Macaca mulatta: one gene and its partners. The protein of the gene in region 1 binds, or shares a complex with, the protein of each later gene. Links are inferred from orthologs where the notes say so. Each region holds a gene or a part of one and is shown in the gene's direction. Other genes may lie near its edges.

Evidence for each region.
Region 2: MEFV (region 1) and RIPK3 share a complex: the UniProt entries of both Homo sapiens proteins name them as parts of the AIM2 PANoptosome complex. The link is inferred for Macaca mulatta from reciprocal best matches to the Homo sapiens genes MEFV and RIPK3.
Region 3: MEFV (region 1) and RIPK1 share a complex: the UniProt entries of both Homo sapiens proteins name them as parts of the AIM2 PANoptosome complex. The link is inferred for Macaca mulatta from reciprocal best matches to the Homo sapiens genes MEFV and RIPK1.
Region 4: MEFV (region 1) and AIM2 share a complex: the UniProt entries of both Homo sapiens proteins name them as parts of the AIM2 PANoptosome complex. The link is inferred for Macaca mulatta from reciprocal best matches to the Homo sapiens genes MEFV and AIM2.

What each region holds. Positions count from the first base shown.
Region 1 is NC_133425.1:4,489,635-4,494,259, reverse strand, and holds the start of MEFV (pyrin), read left to right. Parts: upstream 1-1,422; 5' UTR 1,423-1,621; coding exon 1,622-1,898; intron 1,899-3,398; coding exon 3,399-4,046; intron 4,047-4,625. UniProt on the Homo sapiens protein: Involved in the regulation of innate immunity and the inflammatory response in response to IFNG/IFN-gamma.
Region 2 is NC_133412.1:97,455,907-97,460,755, reverse strand, and holds the start of RIPK3 (receptor-interacting serine/threonine-protein kinase 3), read left to right. Parts: upstream 1-1,600; 5' UTR 1,601-1,819; coding exon 1,820-1,839; intron 1,840-2,048; coding exon 2,049-2,189; intron 2,190-2,323; coding exon 2,324-2,633; intron 2,634-3,085; coding exon 3,086-3,231; intron 3,232-3,357; coding exon 3,358-3,404; intron 3,405-3,611; coding exon 3,612-3,779; intron 3,780-3,889; coding exon 3,890-3,957; intron 3,958-4,172; coding exon 4,173-4,547; intron 4,548-4,687; coding exon 4,688-4,748; intron 4,749-4,849. UniProt on the Homo sapiens protein: Serine/threonine-protein kinase that activates necroptosis and apoptosis, two parallel forms of cell death. Necroptosis, a programmed cell death process in response to death-inducing TNF-alpha family members, is triggered by RIPK3 following activation by ZBP1.
Region 3 is NC_133409.1:180,157,564-180,161,665, reverse strand, and holds part of RIPK1 (receptor-interacting serine/threonine-protein kinase 1), read left to right. Parts: intron 1-663; coding exon 664-1,233; intron 1,234-4,102. UniProt on the Homo sapiens protein: Serine-threonine kinase which is a key regulator of TNF-mediated apoptosis, necroptosis and inflammatory pathways.
Region 4 is NC_133406.1:107,861,736-107,865,663, forward strand, and holds the end of AIM2 (interferon-inducible protein AIM2), read left to right. Parts: exon of another isoform or gene 1-209; intron 210-650; exon of another isoform or gene 651-807; intron 808-1,510; exon of another isoform or gene 1,511-1,781; intron 1,782-1,790; coding exon 1,791-1,979; intron 1,980-2,748; coding exon 2,749-2,775; 3' UTR 2,776-2,983; downstream 2,984-3,928. UniProt on the Homo sapiens protein: Sensor component of the AIM2 inflammasome, which mediates inflammasome activation in response to the presence of double-stranded DNA (dsDNA) in the cytosol, leading to subsequent pyroptosis.

The sequences.
Region 1 (4,625 bases):
GTCCTGCAGGGTACAGTCCTAGAGATTCTAGGAGGTAGTGTTTATAAAGCAAGTGGTGGCTGGTGCAGAGGAAGTGCTGGTGAAGGGTAAACTGCATTATTAACAAAACTTCTGGACGGGCACAGTGGCCAGATTACAGGGATTACACACCTGTAATCCCAGCACTTTGGGAGGCCAAAGCGAGTGGATCGCTTGAGCTCAGGAGTTCAAGACCAGCCTGTGCAACATAGTGAGACCCTGTCTCTATAAAAAAATACAAAAATTAGCCGGATGTGGTGGCATGCAGCTGTAGTCCCAGCGACTTGGGAGGCTGAGGTTGGAGGGTTGCTCAAGCCCAGGAGGCAGAAGTTGCATTGAGCCAAGATCCTGCCACTGCACTGCAGCCTGAGTGACTGAGCAAGACCCTATCTAAAAACAAAAAATTAAAAAATTAGGGTATGCAAGTAATTTTTTATTTTTTTGAGACAAAGTCCTGCTCTGTCGCCCAGGCTGGAGTACAATGGCACAATCTCGGCTCACTGCAACATCCGCCTCCCGCGTTTAAGCGATTCTCCTGCCTCAGCTTCCCGAGTAGCTGGGAATACAGGCGCGTGCCACCATGCCTGGCTAATTTTTGTATTTTTAGTAGAGATGGGGTTTTACTATGTTGGCCAGGCTGGTCTTGAACTCCCAACCTGAGGTGATCCACTCACCTTGGCCTCCCAAAGTGCTGGGATTACAGGCGTGAGCCACCACGTCCAGCCCCCGACATGTAACTTCTGTTAGCTTCAAAGCCACCTCTGGGGCCCTGCACCAGACTATGAGCTGAAGGACACCCGTGCCTTTTCACCCCTGTAGCTCCAGCATCCTGGCACACTGTCTAGAATGTTCAGTGAATGTGCACGGAAGGGCATTCTGGCTCCAGGGAGTGAGAACTGAGTCAGCTCTGGGAACAGATGAGTCAGGCTGGTGGTCGAGGCATTGCTTTTCAAGCCCTTCATGTGGCTGGAAGAACCAGACAACTGGAACTGGATCAACAGGGGTGATGGCGTGGCAAGAGTTATCCCCCGGCAGTGCCCTTCTGGCCTCACTTGCCTTCTTGGGCCAGGAAAGGCAAAGCTCACGGGGCTGTATTTACTGCCCACCCCTTCCCCCATCCCATGCCATTGGCTCTGGAGGGTCTGTGAAACCCTGAGTCTGGAGGAGAACAGTTGACCAGCAGGGCTGGCCCTCAGCATAGTCCTCTCTGTTCCCATTCACCCGCTCTGCCAGCCCCAGATCCTGGCAGGAAGGGAGATTGGAGGGGTTGTCTGGAATCCAATCCTAGACCTTCCCTTGCAGACTTGCCCACCTGTCTGTGGTCTAGTGTGGAGATGAGGTCCAGGGTTTGGGAGGGGTGTGGGGACAGATGTCTGCCAAGGCACTGAGCCCTCCCAGCTGGAAAATCCTCTGAACCTGTGAGAAGAGAACACAGCCAGCATGGACACACCCTTACCCTTAGTCTCAGTTCCCACCAAGACACAGAGCATTTCCTGTGCCTTTTCCGCTATTTCACAACCTGCTTTTTCTTGCTCACCAAGGTAGAGGCTTCTTCTCCTGCCAGAAGCCAGACAGCTAGCTCCAGCGTCTCCTGCTCAGCGCCATGGCCAAGACCCCTAGTGACCATCTGCTGTCCACCCTGGAGGAGCTGGTGCCCTATGACTTTGAGAAGTTCAAGTTCAAGCTGCAGAACACCAGTGTGGAGAAGGAGCACTCCAGGATCCCCCGGAGCCAGATCCAGAGAGCCAGGCCAGTGAAGATGGCCAGTCTGCTGGTCACCTACTACGGGGAAGAGTACGCTGTGCGGCTAACCCTGCAGGTCCTGCGGGCCATCAACCAGCGCCTGCTGGCTGAGGAGCTCCACAGGGCAGCCGTTCAGGGTAAGCGGGCCCAGGCTGCCTCCTCACCCAGCACTGAGGCCTGGTTGCTTTGTGGGAAAAGGGACCAGGAGCTCAGAGCAGCTCACTCTGACTTGGGGGTCGGGAGTCTCAGGTCTACCAAGATCCAGGTGACTTTAGTTCAGGAACGTCCCTTCCTTCACTCTGGCTTTTGGCACTGGGTTAGTAAACTTCCTTAAGGCTCCCAATGGGTTTTAAAGAAGCAGGTCAGGGTCAGGAAAGGCAGGAGCTGGAGCACCTATTCTTTGAGACTTCTTCACTTCATTTATGATTAATACTCATGTCAGACAAACATCTCTAGGTTAGCAAAAAGGGATTGCTATGCAATCGTATGAACGGGGCTGGTATAGAATCTTTTCAGTGCTGTTCACCATGTTGGCCAGGCTGGTCTCAAACTCCCGACCTCAAGTGATCCTCCCGCCTCAGCCTCCCAAAGTGCTGGGATTTCAGGCATGGACCACCGTGCCTGGTTTATTTTTATTTTTGAAATGTATAATCTGGGTTTTGCTGACCTGTGTAAGATCTTATTTGAAACAGTTGTCCTGCTTACAACGTTTGAAAAGTACTATTTGAGGAATACATGGTGGCTCACACTTATAATCTCAGCACTCTGGGAGGCTAAAGTGGGTAGATTGCTAGAGCTCAGGAGTTCGAGACCAGCCTGGCCAACATGGTGAAACCCTGTCTCTACCAAAAATACAAAAAAAAGAGCCAGGTGTGGTGGCACACACCTGTATTCTCAGCTATTGAAAAAACAGAAAACAGGCTGATGTGAGAGGATCGCTTGAGCCTGGGAGGCAGAGGTTGCAGTGAGCCGAGATCACATCAGGGCCACAGAACAAGATCCGGTCTCAAAAAATAAAATAAGAGAGAGATAAATATGTAGCAACATCAAGCATGTTCTTACTGAATGGTAATTGACTGCCGTTGTCTAGGAAGTCCTGAACTTTTGTTTTTGAAATGGAGTCTCGCTTTGTCACTCAGGCTGGAGAGCAGTGGGGCAATCTCAGCTCACTGCAACCTCCACATCCCAGGCTCAAGCGATTCTCATGCCTCAGCCTCCAGAGTAGCTGGGACTACAGGTGCACACCACCACGTCTGGCTAAATTTCGTATTTTTAGTAGGAACGTGGTTTTGCCATGTTGGCCAGGCTGGTCTCGAACTCCTGACCTCAAATGATCCTCCCAACTTGGCCTCCCGAGAAGCTAGGATTACAGGCATATGCCACCACGCTCAGCTTATTTTTGTATTTTTAGTAGAGACAGGGTTTCACCCTGCTGGTCTTGAACTCCTGACCTCAGGTGATCCTCCCGCCTCAACCTCCCAGAGTGCTGGGAATACAGGCATGAGCCACCGTGCCCGGCCCGTTTTTTCCTCCATTTCTAAAGTTTAATATCCATGGGGATTCTCTCTCCTCTCCCCTGAATCTTGGGCCCTAAACGTGGGACAGCTTCATGACTTTGTAGCTGGTTGTCTTTCCAGAATATTCCACACAAGAAAATGGCACAGACGATTCCGCAGCGTCCAGCTCCCTGGAGGAGAACAAGCCCGGGAGCCTGAAGACTCCAGACCACCCCGAGGGGAAGGAGGGAAAGGAGGGGAACGGCCCTCGGTCGTGCGGGGACTGGGCTGCCAGCCTGCGGTACAGCCAGCCCGAGGCCGGGAGGGGGCTGTCAAGGAAGCCCTTGAGCAAACGCAGAGAGAAGGCCTCGGAGAGCCTGGACGTGCAGGGCAAGCCTCGAACCCGGAGCCCGGCCCTGCCGGGCGGGAGAAGCCCCGGCCCCAGCCCCTGCAGGGCGCCAGAGCCAGGCCAGGCCGAGGTCCTCCTGCGCAGGAACGCCAGCTCCGCGGGGAGGCTGCAGGGGCTGGCGGGGGGCGCGCCAGGGCGGAAGGAGTGCAGGCTCTTCGAAGTGTACCTGCCCTCGGGAAAGAAGCGGCCTAAAAGCCTTGAGTTCACCATTTCCACAGGGGAGAAGGCGCCCCCAAATCCAGAAACTCTCCTGACTGTAGAGGAAACGACAGCTGCGAATCCGGACTCGGCAACAGGCGCTCAGGCAAGGCCCACTCCGGATGGAGGGGCGTCTGCGGACCTGGAGAAAGGCCCTGGGAATCCAGAACATTCGGTCACCGGTAAATTGTGTTTTTTCCTACTTTATATCGGCTGCAAAGAAAGAACAGCTGGCGGGGCACGATAGCTCATGCCTGTAATCCCGGCACTTTGGGAGGCCAGGGCTGGAGGATTGCTGAGGCCAAGAGTTTGAGACCAGTCTGGTGAACATAGTGAGACCCCCGCCATGTCTATAAATAAAATTAAAAAAATAAAAACCCAAAGGTTGGACAGGGCGCCATAGCTCACGCCTGTAATCCCAGAGCTTTGAGAGGCCTGAACGGGAGGATCTCTTGACCCCAGGAGTTCCATACTAGCCTAGGCAACACAGTGAGACCCCATCTCTACAAAAAATACAATAGTAGCACTTGCCTGTAGTCCCAGCTGCTCGGGCTCACTTGAGCAGGGGGAGTTCCAGGCTACAGTGAGCTGAGATCATGCCAGTACACTCCAGCCTGAGCAACGTAGCAAGATTCCACTTCTACAAAACTAAAAAAAAAAATTAGCTGGGTGTGGTGGCACATGCCTGTAATTCTAGCTACTCGAGAAGCTGAGGCAGGATGATTGCTTGAGCCAGGGAGTTCCAGGCCTCAGTGAGCTGA
Region 2 (4,849 bases), on another chromosome or scaffold:
TGCCTGCTTCCTTCAAGTGGAGATACTGAGCCTGGGTTATTCTCTCCAAAAAGAATCACAAAGGGAGTGGCTACCCCTTTTGATGGTTCTCAGCTTCTGACTCTAGGCTTTTCTGAGGACCTGCTACACTTCTTGCCTTCTTGGATTCTGTGTGATACCACCATATCTCTATACTAAAGCCTACTTCAGACGGATTTCATGAACTGTGCAGGTGAGAGCCCTCAGTCCCTATAGGAACCCGATCTCCTCTTTCCTCCTACTGAGTATGGAGCTCCATCTAGGATGATCAGTGCCTTAAAAGAGGCTTAATATTTTTGGTTGTTCATTTATTCATTCAATTCAACAAATATTTATTGGGTATCTGCCATGTATTGGCTTTTAAAGAGACTACAGTTGAACAATTCCCTAAATAGCTCCAAAATAGCATGAGCTGACCCTACCAGAAGCCATGGTGTAGCTCTCCAGGAGTTGTTCTAGAAAAAACTGCTGATCACTTCTGCCTCAACCAGAAGAGCCCATGGACCACTGGACAAAATGGAAAGCAAGTACCAAGGTGAGCACCTTTTAGTGAAAGCCAACACACAACCCACAGGGTTGAGTATCCCTGTGAAGGACTGAGTGCCTAGGGCTGGCCCTATCGGGTTCCCACAACCTCCAGTCATGGTCAGACCTCCAAAAGGTAAAATATGGACACCTTTTTTCTGCCCTAAATCTTTAAGACTCTCCATGCTTCTGGGTTATCAAAAGCCTGTGTCCAGAGCATGTGCTTGTCAGGAACATTAATTAGGGTATTTGCATGCAAGAGTTGTCATGCAAAGGAGAGGGCAGGAAAGCTCTGAATTGTTTCCACTGCAGTGTACACCACAATGTCACCAACTTGCTGGATGGGCTGGTATATCTAGCCTTACCACAATGCCCTTGGAGTGGGTTTGGGGTCTGCCAGCTCAAGGAGCTCCTGTTCATAGGGCATGTAAGTCCCTATGAACATATAAGTCCCAAGGAATACAAATAGGGATCCTTCACTACATCGTTGGATGCTTCACAACTTTCCCAGCCTCCTGCAGGACCAGCTGAGTGGTCCTGCAACCTGTGTGAAAACAGGTGAAACCTATGTGAAAACAGCCCTGAAACCTATGATGTGAAAACAGGATAACTTGATGGTTCAGAGCCATTATTTCCATATGGGCTTAGGCAAGGTACTTAAACTCTCAGTGTCTCAGTTTCCTCATCTATAGAAAGGTAATAAAAGCAGTACCTATCCCCTTAGGGTTCGTGTGAGAATTAAATAAGCTAATCTATGTACCTGGTGCATGATAAGTTTTATATATGCATTGGCTATGATCTTAGGGCAGCTATGAGAGAGCTGAGCCCCAAAACCATAAAACCTGCCTAAGCACCATCTCCACTCATGGCCTGGCAGGTGGTGGAGCAGGAAATCCTGTGGGAAAAGAGAAGGCTTTGACTGTAGGAGTGGGTTGATTGTGGGTTCCTGGAAGGTGAGGACCCATTGCCACACCTAACCTGGCCGCTGCATGCGGCAGGCACTCAGGAAACGCTAGTCAGGGAGAAAGACACTAGCTTTCACTTTGCCCCCTGCCCCACCCCAGGGGCGGGACTGTAGAGGCGCCTGTAAGGGAAGTTGTTCAGTCAACTCAGAATACGGGTAGCAACCCGGAAAGTGGAGTCACCGTCCTGGTCTAGAGACTGATCCCTGCAGAGACAGATCCCTTCCCCTCTCTGCCAAAGACCGCAGCCCCAGAAGTCATTCCATCTCCTACTGCTCGCAATCTCCAGAGGCCCCCTCGCACCTTCCAGCCTGATGTCGTGCGTCAAGTTATGGTGAGTAGGGAGTGGCATGTCGATCGCAGCCTCCGACATTCACACCCAGAGCGCCCCACGGACTCGCTCAGAGAACGCCTTTGAGTCTGGAGACGGTGGGGGCCGGCGAGAGAGGCCGGGGATTGCAGTAAGAGCGCCGAGTCACAGGGGCGCGGGGAGCAGCGCTGGCGTAGGGCACTGCCGGCTAGTGGGCGACACCCCTGTCTCAGGCCCAGTGGTGCCTCCGCCTCCTTGGTGTCCATCGAGGAACTGGAAAACCAGGAGTTCGTCGGCAGAGGCGGGTTCGGCACAGTGTTCCGGGCGCGATATAGGAAGTGGGGCTACGATGTGGCGGTCAAGATTGTAAACTCGTGAGTGACCCCTGTTGCCCCCCCGGCCGCAATCTGGCCAAAAAGGTGGAGCCACTGTGCTCTGGGGCCTGAATGGGGAATGGAGGGATTTTTCCCACGACCCCGGGTGACTCCAGCTCTCTCCTGGAGTGTAGGAAGGCGATATCCAGGGAAGTCAAGGCCATGGCAAGTCTGGATAACGAATTCGTGCTGCGCCTAGAAGGGGTCATCGAGAAGGTGAACTGGGACCACGTGCCCAAGCCGGCTCTGGTGACTAAATTCATGGAGAACGGCTCCCTGTCCCGGCTGCTGCAGCCCGAGTGCCCTAGGCCCTGGCCGCTGCTTTGCCGCCTGCTGAAAGAAGTGGTGCTTGGGATGTTTTACCTGCACAACCAGAACCCGGTGCTCCTGCACCGGGACCTCAAGCCATCCAATGTCCTGCTGGACCCAGAGCTGCACGTCAAGGTCAGCTGCTCTACACCCCTCTCAGCCTCAGGACAAGGTCCCACCCCAGAGCAGCTCCAGCCAGGCCCACTGGACACCAGACCTCCAGAGCCCTGTCTATTGAATAGGCGTAGCCTCTCCCTCTGGACACAGGGCTGCCAGGGCACAAAGCCCAGCCAGGAGTTTTAGCTCCTGCCATACCAGGTGATAGAGGCCCCGACCCACACGAGTCATTTCCACCAGCTGCCCCACCAACCCCTCCAAAGAGTCATGGCTGACCCAGCCCTGGAGACTCACACCTTGACCCAGCCCTACCACAGGCACCTAGATCTACTATCCAAGGGAGCCTCTTCCCTTGACCTCCACACTCCCTTTACAAAGCTGAACCTGAACCTTCTGGGGGCAAGGGGGTTTCTGGAGGCTGCCTGGCCCCCTTGTCTTCCCTACCTCCCACTTCTTTCCTTCCTTTGCAGCTGGCAGATTTTGGCCTGTCCACATTTCAGGGAGGCTCACAGTCAGGGACAGCATCCAGGGAGCCAGGGGGCACCCTGGGCTACTTGGCCCCAGAACTGTTTGTTAATGTAAACCGGAAGGCCTCCACAGCCAGTGATGTCTACAGGTAAGGATCCCAGCCCAAACACACAGCCGGGATTCCTACACTTCTCTGGGCCCTCCCAGGGGGTGATGTATAGGAAAGGAGTCTTGCCAGTGATTGGACTGGTCCTCAGCTTTGTGTCTCCTGCAGCTTCGGGATCCTAATGTGGGCAGTGCTTGCTGGAAGAGAAGCTGAGTGTAAGACTCTAGGCGGATTCTGGGATCCTTAACCCCAGGTGCCCTTCTCTTGAAAGCCCCAAAGCTTCCCCTTCCTGCTCACCTACTAAGACTGCCCTCCTCCATCCTTGTGCTCCCACATTACACTCCCTGCCTCTTTCCATGATGGAGCAGATATTCCCTTTTACCCTGAATGCCTTCTCTTCTCACCCTCCTCCCCTACTCCAGTGCCAACAGAAGCATCACTGGTGTGTGGAGCAGTGTGCAGGAGGCAGACCCGGCCCTCATTGACTGAGCTGCCCCAAGCTGGGCCTGAGACTCCCGGCTTAGAAGGACTGAAGGAGCTAATGCAGCTCTGCTGGAGCAGTGAGCCCAAGGACAGACCCTCCTTCCAGGGTGAGCTGGCCAATTAGCTGGATCTGGGGTAAGCTTGGGTCTGTCAGCATGGGGCTTTCCTCAGGAAAAGAAGATTTGCTCACCTGCAACCCACTCTGCTGTCCCTCTAGAATGCCTACCAAAAACTGATGAAGCCTTCCAGATGGTGGAGAACAATATAAATGCTGCTGTCTCCACAGTGAGCGCCAACATCACCCCTCTCCAGGAGCTGGTCAGGGATGGCACAACATGGCTACCTGGCCATCCAATGACTCACCATTAACCACAGCTTTTTTATGCCTTGACCTTTGTCCTCACCCTCCCCAGCCCACCCCTGAGTTCCAAGAGACTACTCCCTTGGGTTTACTCTGGCTCATCCAAGTCATACCCAGCAAACTCCTCCCATCCCTGCAGGTAAAGAATTTCCTATCTGAGCTCAGGAGCAGCAATCCGAGATTTTCTACCCCCGAGTCAGGCCAAGGAGGGACAGAAATGGATGGCTTTAGGAGAACCACAGGAAACCAACACTCTCGTAATGATGTCATGGTTTCTGAGCTGCTAAACAAACTGAATCTAGAGGGGTCTCCCAGCTCTGTTCCTGAAAAATACCCGAGCCTTACCAAGAGGAGCAGGGCACAAGAGGAGCAGGTTCTGCAAGCCAGGACAGCAGGGACATCTTCAGATTCAGTGGCCCAACCTCCCCAGACTCCAGAGACCTCAACTTTCAGAAACCAGATGCCCAGCCCCACATCAACTGGAACACCAAGTCCTGGACCCCAGGGGAATCAGGTGAGACATTGGCAGGATTAGGGGATGCACTAAGAGTCCTATAAATGCTGTCCCCTTGCCAGGCAAAACTTGGGGCTGAGAGGAGTGCACTGGGCGGTCCAGGCTCCAGGACAGAACTGGATGCTCTGTGATGTTTGCAGGGCGCTGAGAGACATGGCATGAACTGGTCCTCCAGGACCCCGGAGCCAAATCCAGTAACAGGTACCCACTCTCCACCTCTTTCTTTTCCCTGTTCAATTCTTCCATGAGACTCCTCCTCCAGATCTATATCTAGATTCAGGGTACTTTCTGGAGGCGAGGGG
Region 3 (4,102 bases), on another chromosome or scaffold:
TCATGGGACGTGCTTAGGACAGAGCTGCTGCAGATTTTTTTTTTTTTTTTTTTTTTTGAGACAGAGTCCCTCTGTCACCCCGGCTGGAGTGCAGTGGTGTGATCTTGGCTCACTATAACCTCTGCCTTTCAGGATCAAGCGATTCTTCTGCCTCAGCCTCCCAAGCAGCTGGGATTACAGGCATGCACCACCATGCCTAGCTAGTTTTTGTATTTTCAGTAGAAACGGGGTTTTGCCATGTTGGCCAGGCTGGTCTCGAACTCCTGACCTCAGGTGATCCGCCCGCCTCGGCCTCCCAACGTGCTGGGATTACAGGCGTGAACACCGTGCCTGGTCGCAGATCTTATTTTCCACCTGAATCGCTCCAAGGAGACAACTACCTTCTCTGCTCCAAACCAAGTCCCTTTTTTCCTTGATCATCCCTGCAACAGCCGCTCTTCTCTTGCTTGCTATAATTTTCCTAGTACTCTCTCACTGCCAGTGAGGAGCTCCTATTATTTGTAAAGCTTGTGGGAAGAGGACCATCTCCTAAATGCTTCGGACTGGTCTCTTACTTATTTTCTGTGCGTCCCTCTGAGATACAGATTCATGATGGCGCTCAGATTTTATTTTACGTTTTAATGTTTCACGAACCCCATTCTAATGTTGATCATTTCTTCTCAGCCACAGAACAGCCTGGTTCACTGCACAGTTCCCAGGGACTTGGGATGGGTCCTGTGGAGGAGTCCTGGTTTGCCCCCTCCCTGGAGCACCAGCAAGAAGAGAATGAGCCCAGTCTGCAGAGTAAACTCCAAGAGGAAGCAAACTACCATCTCTATGGCAGCCGCATGGACAGGCAGATGAAACAGCAGCCCAGACAGAATGTGGCTTACAACAGAGAGGAGGAAAGGAGACGAAGGGTCTCCCATGACCCTTTTGCACAGCAAAGACCTTATGAGAATTTTCAGAATACAGAGGTAAAAGGCACCGCTTATTCTAGTGCAGCCAGTCATGGTAATGCAGTGCCCCAGCCCTCAGGGCTTAGCAGCCAACCTCAAGTGCCATATCGGAACAATGTTTTATATAGCTCACATGGCTTTGGAACAAGACCGCTGGATCCAGGAACAGCAGGTCCCAGAGTTTGGTATGGGCCAATTCCAAGTCCTATGTCTAGTCTGTATAAAATCCCGGTGCCTGAGACCAACTATTTAGGAAACACACCCACGATGCCATTCACCTCCTTGCCACTAACAGGTAAATGGGTCTTTGATAGTCACAACCTTGTCTTTTTTTATTTTTCAGAAAGTAAAGCAACCAACCAGCTCTATTGTAGATTGTGGGTTGTGATGGGGACAGAGGGTATCGTCCACGGCCAGATGCAAGTTGCCGCTGTGGAATGGACTCCGCCAGGCCACTTGGTCTGGGAGTGTTTCATCTGGGGCTAGGATTCATCACACATGTCCACAAGCATCAGGAGGTGCTTGTGACTGGCAGGCGCCTTTGACTCTAATGTGGAGTGCATAGTAGTCCTATTTCACCCAATCTCTGATCAATGGGAAGTTATCTGCTTATTTGCTTTTACCTTGCTTGCTGTTTTTTGAAGATAAGAAATCAGTTTTGGATATTTTTGTTTCTTACCTTATATAGCTCAAAGACTACCATTAGTGATGAAAAACTTTTTTTTAACTCCCATATATCTATCAGGTGAAGTAAAAGGTACGTGATAGTAGTTACTGGCAGTCTAGAATGGAAGTGATTTAATGTAATATCCAGCATTTTTATCAAATAATACTCACCAACATCACCTTAACCACCTGAACGGCATCTACCAGTGATACCCACAAGTGTCCTGGAGATCCTGAAATCAACTCAGGTACAGGAAGCTTTGAGAACCACAGAGCTTAGTTACAATTTCTTTCAAAACGCCAAATTCTCCAAAAACATCCTTTGAAAACATCCTCGATTTTTTCCATAGGTTTTATTATTAAGATCTGTAGAATGCAAAATACTGGATTAGACATTAAGCAGTATCCAAGTCATGTATAATCCTATGAGCAGAATATCCTTTTGTTTCCTTCATGTCTGGGGATAAAATTTTTCATTAGTATTGCCATATCATTTTATTCATTCATGATTAAGTCAATAAAAATTTCAGCTGGGGCCATGGTTGGCCAGGCATGGTGGCTCATGCCTGTAATGCCAGCACTTTGGGAGGCCGAGGTGGGTGGATCATTTGAGGCCAGAAATTTGAGACCAGCCTGGCTAACATGGTGACACCCTGTCTCTACTAAATAATACAGAAATTGGCCAGGCGTGGTGGTGCATGCCTGTAGCCCCAGCTACTAGGGAGGGTGAGGCAGGAAAATCACTTGAACCCTGGAGACAGACGTTACAGTGAGCTGAGATATGCCACTGCACTCCAGCCTGGGAAACAGAGTGAGATTGTGTCTCAGGGAAAAAAAAAAAAATTCTGTAATCCCAGCACTTTGGGAGGCTGAGGCAGGCAGATCACGAGGTGAGGAGATTGAGACTATCCTGGCTAACACAGTGAAACCCCATCTCTACTAAAAATACAAAAAAAAACAAAAAAACAAAAAAAATAGCTGGGCATAGTGGCACGCGCCTGTAATCCCAGCTACTCGGGAGGGTGAGGCAGGAGAATCACTTGAACCTGGGAGGCAGAAGTTGCAGTGAGCCGAGATCGCATCACTGCACTCCAGCCTGGGTGACAGAGCGAGACTCCATCTCAAATAAAGAAAAGAAAAAAGAAAAAAAAAAATCCAAAGCACTTCCCACTTTGTGCCATGCAGTTCTCCAGGCACTGGAGCTATAACTGAGCCAACAGCCTGAGTGAGTCCCTTCCCTCATATAGTTTAAATCCTAGTAGACAGAAGGCAGACCCTAAACCAATATTTAATGTGTAATTTTTTATCTTCTTTCTACATGAGCAACCCAAATACACTAGTTTAGTGCCAAAATCGCTTTCTGTTTTCACTCTTGCTGTGGTTCCTGATTCTGCCAGTGACAGATGTACAGGCATCCAGCTTCTTCAGGATTCTGAGATGCTTTCAGGGGGGAGGGGGCACTTGGATCTATAATAAATAATAGAATTTTCTGTGTTTCTGCTCCCAAAGATGATCCTGCTAAGTACTGAGCTAGTAAATGAACACGCTGAGTTTCTCCTTGCAAATTTAAATAAGTCTTTTGCTTGCTTTTGTTATCAAAATGTCCTAACTCTGTACCAAAATGTGAGTTTTCTAATTTGCCATACCATAGAAGAAGGGTGTGTGTATCCAGTAAGTACAAAAGGAAAATAAAAGTCTTCGTCTCAGTGAAAGAGCTCCTAGACCCACTGTTTCTATTCACTGTGCTGTTTGAAGTGAGGTTAGAAAAGGGAAGCTCACTGGGCTAGGGGTCAGGAGACCCAAGTCGAGTCCTGCGTGTGCCAGTCACTGCAGTGGGTGACTTTGGGAAAGTCGTTTGCCTTTCCAGAGTTCATTCTCCTCAATTATCAATGAAAATGTTACGAGTGAAAATTTATACATTGTAAGCTCTAGTGTGTTTCTAATATTGCATTCGTTGCTCCGTTTCATAACTTTCATGGCTTTTCCAGTGGCCAGATTTGGGCAGAAAGCACTGATTCAAGAAAACAAATCTCCAAGTAGAGAGGTGCAGGGTAGACCTCCATGTAAGCCCATGGTGAACGCAGACTGTGAGTGACAAACACAGTGTCAGTACAAGCTGGAGGTGGTGGGCCAGGAGGATTCAACAGGGTAAGGCAGCTTAGCACTGTGCCTGCCGATGCACAGAATAAGTGCTCAGTAAATGGTAGCTGCTGTTATTAGCACTGTTATTATCACTGTTAACAAGAACACCTAGACAGCCTTGAGTGCTGGAAGGTACCTCAGAGACTGTCACAGCGGTTCCTTGCTAGGATTCCAAGGACCCCAGTTTCAGCAGCTTCATAAACACCCAGAACTACATACAGATGGTGTGTGCGTGCACATCCTATATTTCTTACACCTGTCTCTAGAGAGGGTCCCTAGTTTCCTTGGCTTCCTCAGAGAAAATGCAACAAATGAGCACGGTGCCTGGTCCAGAAGGCGGCCTATCTTAGGGTCAG
Region 4 (3,928 bases), on another chromosome or scaffold:
TCACTTCACACTTGGAAGGTTCCACAGCGGCTGGCGCTCCTCACTTCCCAGACGGTGGGGCGGCCGGGCAGAGGCCCTCTTCACTTCTCAGACGGTGGGGCGGCCGGGCAGAGGCCCTCTTCACTTCCCAGACGGTGGGGCGGCCGGGCAGAGGCCCTCTTCACTTCTCAGACGGTGGGGTGGCCGGGCAGAGGCACTCCTCGAGGAGACTTATTAGAAGTGAGAAATAATAAAGTATTATGACTCTGAGCTTCAGGGAACTAGCCTTGTGGAATGACTTTTTCTGGTCTAGGGCAGGACCTGAAGAACCGTAGAGAGGGAACCTGCTGCCCCTGCATTCAGAGCCTCAGAATAACCTCTGCTGCCCTGGGTTAGTTTTAGAAGGAATTGATAGGAAGACTCTCCAGTCCTCTTGGAAACTCAAGTGTAAAATGACCTTGGATAGGAAGGTCATGTTCTTTGTCCCAGTTTTCAGCTTTTAATCTGGCCACTAACATATATTGATTTAGTCCATAAAATTAAAGCTAAAATACGATCAATCTCCGAAATAACTGACCAACCTCCTATTTCCTTTTGATCTAGACTTGATTGTGCATTATTTCTTGTCTTTGATTACTTACTAGACTCTCAGCTGGATCTTGCATCATTACCTCATGTCTCTCCTGGACTTGTTGTTTTAAATAGCTGTCTTCAGGCTGGGCACGGCAGCTCATGCCTGTAATCCTAGCACTTTGGGAGGCCAAGGCGGGTGGATCGCCAGAGTTGAGGAGTTCCAGATCATCCTGGCCAATGTGGCAAAACCTGTCTCTAGTAAAAATACAAAAATTAGCCGGGTGTATTGGTAGGGACCTATATATAATCCCAGCTACTCTGGAGGCTGAGGCAGGAGAATGGCTTGAACCCAGTGGGGTGGAGGTTGCAGTGAGCCAAGATTGCGCCATCGCACTCCAGCCTGGGTGAAGGAGCGAAACTCTGTTTCAAAAAATAAAAAAATAAAAAAAATAGCTCTCTTCCAACCCCAGGGTCTTCTTTTTTCCCCTGACTAATCTGGCTACTGGCCCTGGAGAAGCTCCATCCTCTCTATCCAGCAGTTGTTGCTTCTATGGGCCACCCTGGCCTCCTCCTAAAGGAAGGGAGTTTGGGACTGGAAAGATGGGCATAGGAGACAGCATATTCTAAGTAAGACACGTCTGCCTCCTCTGTGTGAACTTGCTAACATCTATTAGATATATACCTGCTAGTTTCAAAGCAGAAACTTTTTCTTCAAGTTGACCCTTGAACAATGTAGGGATTAGGGCTGCTGACCCCGAGCAGTCGAAAATCTGCATATAATTTTTGATTCCCCAAAAACTTAACTACTTAATAGCCTACTCTTGACCAGAAGCCTTACAGACAATATAAACAGTCACTTAACACATTTTTGTGTTATACATATTATATACTATATTCTTAAAAAGTGAGGTAGAGAAAAATGTTATTAAGAAAATCACAAAAAAGAAAATATACTGACTATTCATTAAGTGGCAGTAGATCATCAAAGTTCTTCATCACTGTCTTCATGTTAAGTAGACTGAGGAGGAAGGAGGAAGAGGAGGGTTGCTCTTGCCGTCTTGGGGTGGCAGAGACAGAGGAAAATTCCCATGTAAATGGACCTGCACAGGTAAAATCTGTGTTGTTCAAGAATTAACTGTATTTCTTTTTAGAGCCTTCTTCTGGCATGTCTGATGTGTGACTGATGTGGCATTCCTTAATCAGATTATCAGAGGCTGGATGTTGATTTTCTTTTACAGGTAACAGAAAAGAAGAAAAATGTATTATTTGACCTAAGTGACAAGACTGGGGAAATGGAAGTATTGGTGGTTAGAAACGAGGACACAATGCAATGTAAGGAAGGAGATAAGGTTCGACTTACATTCTTCACACTGTCAAAAAATGGAGAAAAACCGCAGCTGACATCTGGAGTTCATAGCACCATAAAGGTGGGAACTGCATGGAGCAAAGTCAACTCTCCAAGGGGGTGATATGTTTTGCTTTCTGTCAGGAAGCTGGACTGGAGCCATTGAACAGGATATGGAATGGAAGACATTGATATTTAGTACACGTCCATCTCCCAGAACTGAGAAACCTCCCTCTTAGGAAACACATATTCTAGATACACAGTTAAGAGAACATGGGCTTTTCAAGGCAGAGGCGCATACTGTTATGCACACAGAGCCCAAGAAAGAGCTCCTCAGTAACACTACAAGTCTAAAGCAGAAAGCTTGCCCAGAGTTGGAAAAGTCATTCTGAGTAATGTCTTTGAAAGTAGACACACAATAGATACTTTGAGGACACATTTCCCTAGCCAGTCCCACCACGCCTGCACCTACCATAGTCCAGGGCACTTGAGTCCATGTAAACCCCTACTCTTGACCTTCCACCACACCCTCCTACCCATCTCCTGCCACTAGTTGGTGCTCTTCCCCAAGTCTCAGGGTCGGTTGTACTACCTGCTGTCTCTGTAGGAGTAGAGGCCAAGACTTGAGAAATATGCATATATGACCTTGCTAAGTTGGAGTGTATTTCTCAGGTCAGATATTCACTTTGGGAGTATGATCCAAGACAAACCAATGTATTAGAAGGGTGGGAACAAAATAATTTTATCAGAAGGTGATATACACTTTAGAAGGCCATAGTGACTGCAAACAGAGGAGGGGCCACTTATTGACCGCATCTCAGACTGCATGTTTTTTTTTTTTCTCCATCCAGGTTATTAAGGCCAGTAAAAAAACATAGAGAAATAAAAAGGACCAATTCAAGCCGACTGGTCTAAGCAGCATTTAATTGAAGAATACGTGATACATCTTCTTCAATCAGATTGTAAGTTACCTGAGAGCAGCAGTTCACAGGCTCCTCTCTCCACCAAATTAGGATAGGATAATTGCTGGATAAACAAATTCAGAATATCAACAGATGATCACAATAAACATCTGTTTCTCATTCATTACAGTATCTCATTTAGTTTGTCAATCCCTTGTCTCAAGCAAAAATACTTTATCAATGTATTATATATTTATACAAATGTAAAAGTAAACTACATGACAACAATTGCACAAAATACAAGAGGGAAGAATTAGGAGTATACTGTTAGAAGATCCTGTACAACCTGTGAAGCAGTGCAGTATTATTTGAAAGTAGATACTGCATAATTAAAAATGTATATTTTGTCCCATAGGGCAATGATTTAGAAATATTTTAAAAGGTATATAAATAATAAGACAATTTGTGTTATTGGAGAAAGAATAAGCATAAAGCCTAACGGAAAACTAGAGAGCCAAAACTAGGCTTGTAAATTTACAGTCTATTGATTTTCTACAAAAGTACAAACACAGTTCAATGGAGAAAAGACTAAAATAAAGTACAAGAACAATTAGATACCTGTACTTAAAAAAACAAATCTGAGCCATTCCTCACTCTTTATACAAAAATAAAGTCCAAATGGATCATTGGCTTTTCATAAACATCCAAAACCATAAAACTTCTAGAAGACATGGGAGAAAATCTGTGTGATCTTGGTCTAGGGAAAGATTAAAGATTTTTTAGATATCACACCAGAAGCACAATCTACATAACATAAATGCTTAATAATTTGAACTTCATCAAAATGAAGAACTTCTGTTCTTCAAAAGGTACCATTAAGAGCATTGAAAGGCAAACCATAGATTGTGGCTTAATATTTGTTAGTCACATAGCTGCTGAAGACCCTGTATCCAGGCCAGGCACAGTGGCTCACGCCTGTAATCCCAGCACTTTGGGAGGCCGAGGTGTGTGGATCACCCGAGGTCAGGAGTTTGAGATCAGCCTGGCCAACATGGTGAAACCTCGTCTCTACTAAAATCCAAAAAAAAAAAAAAAAAAATAGCTAGGCGTGGTGGTGGGCATCTGTAAT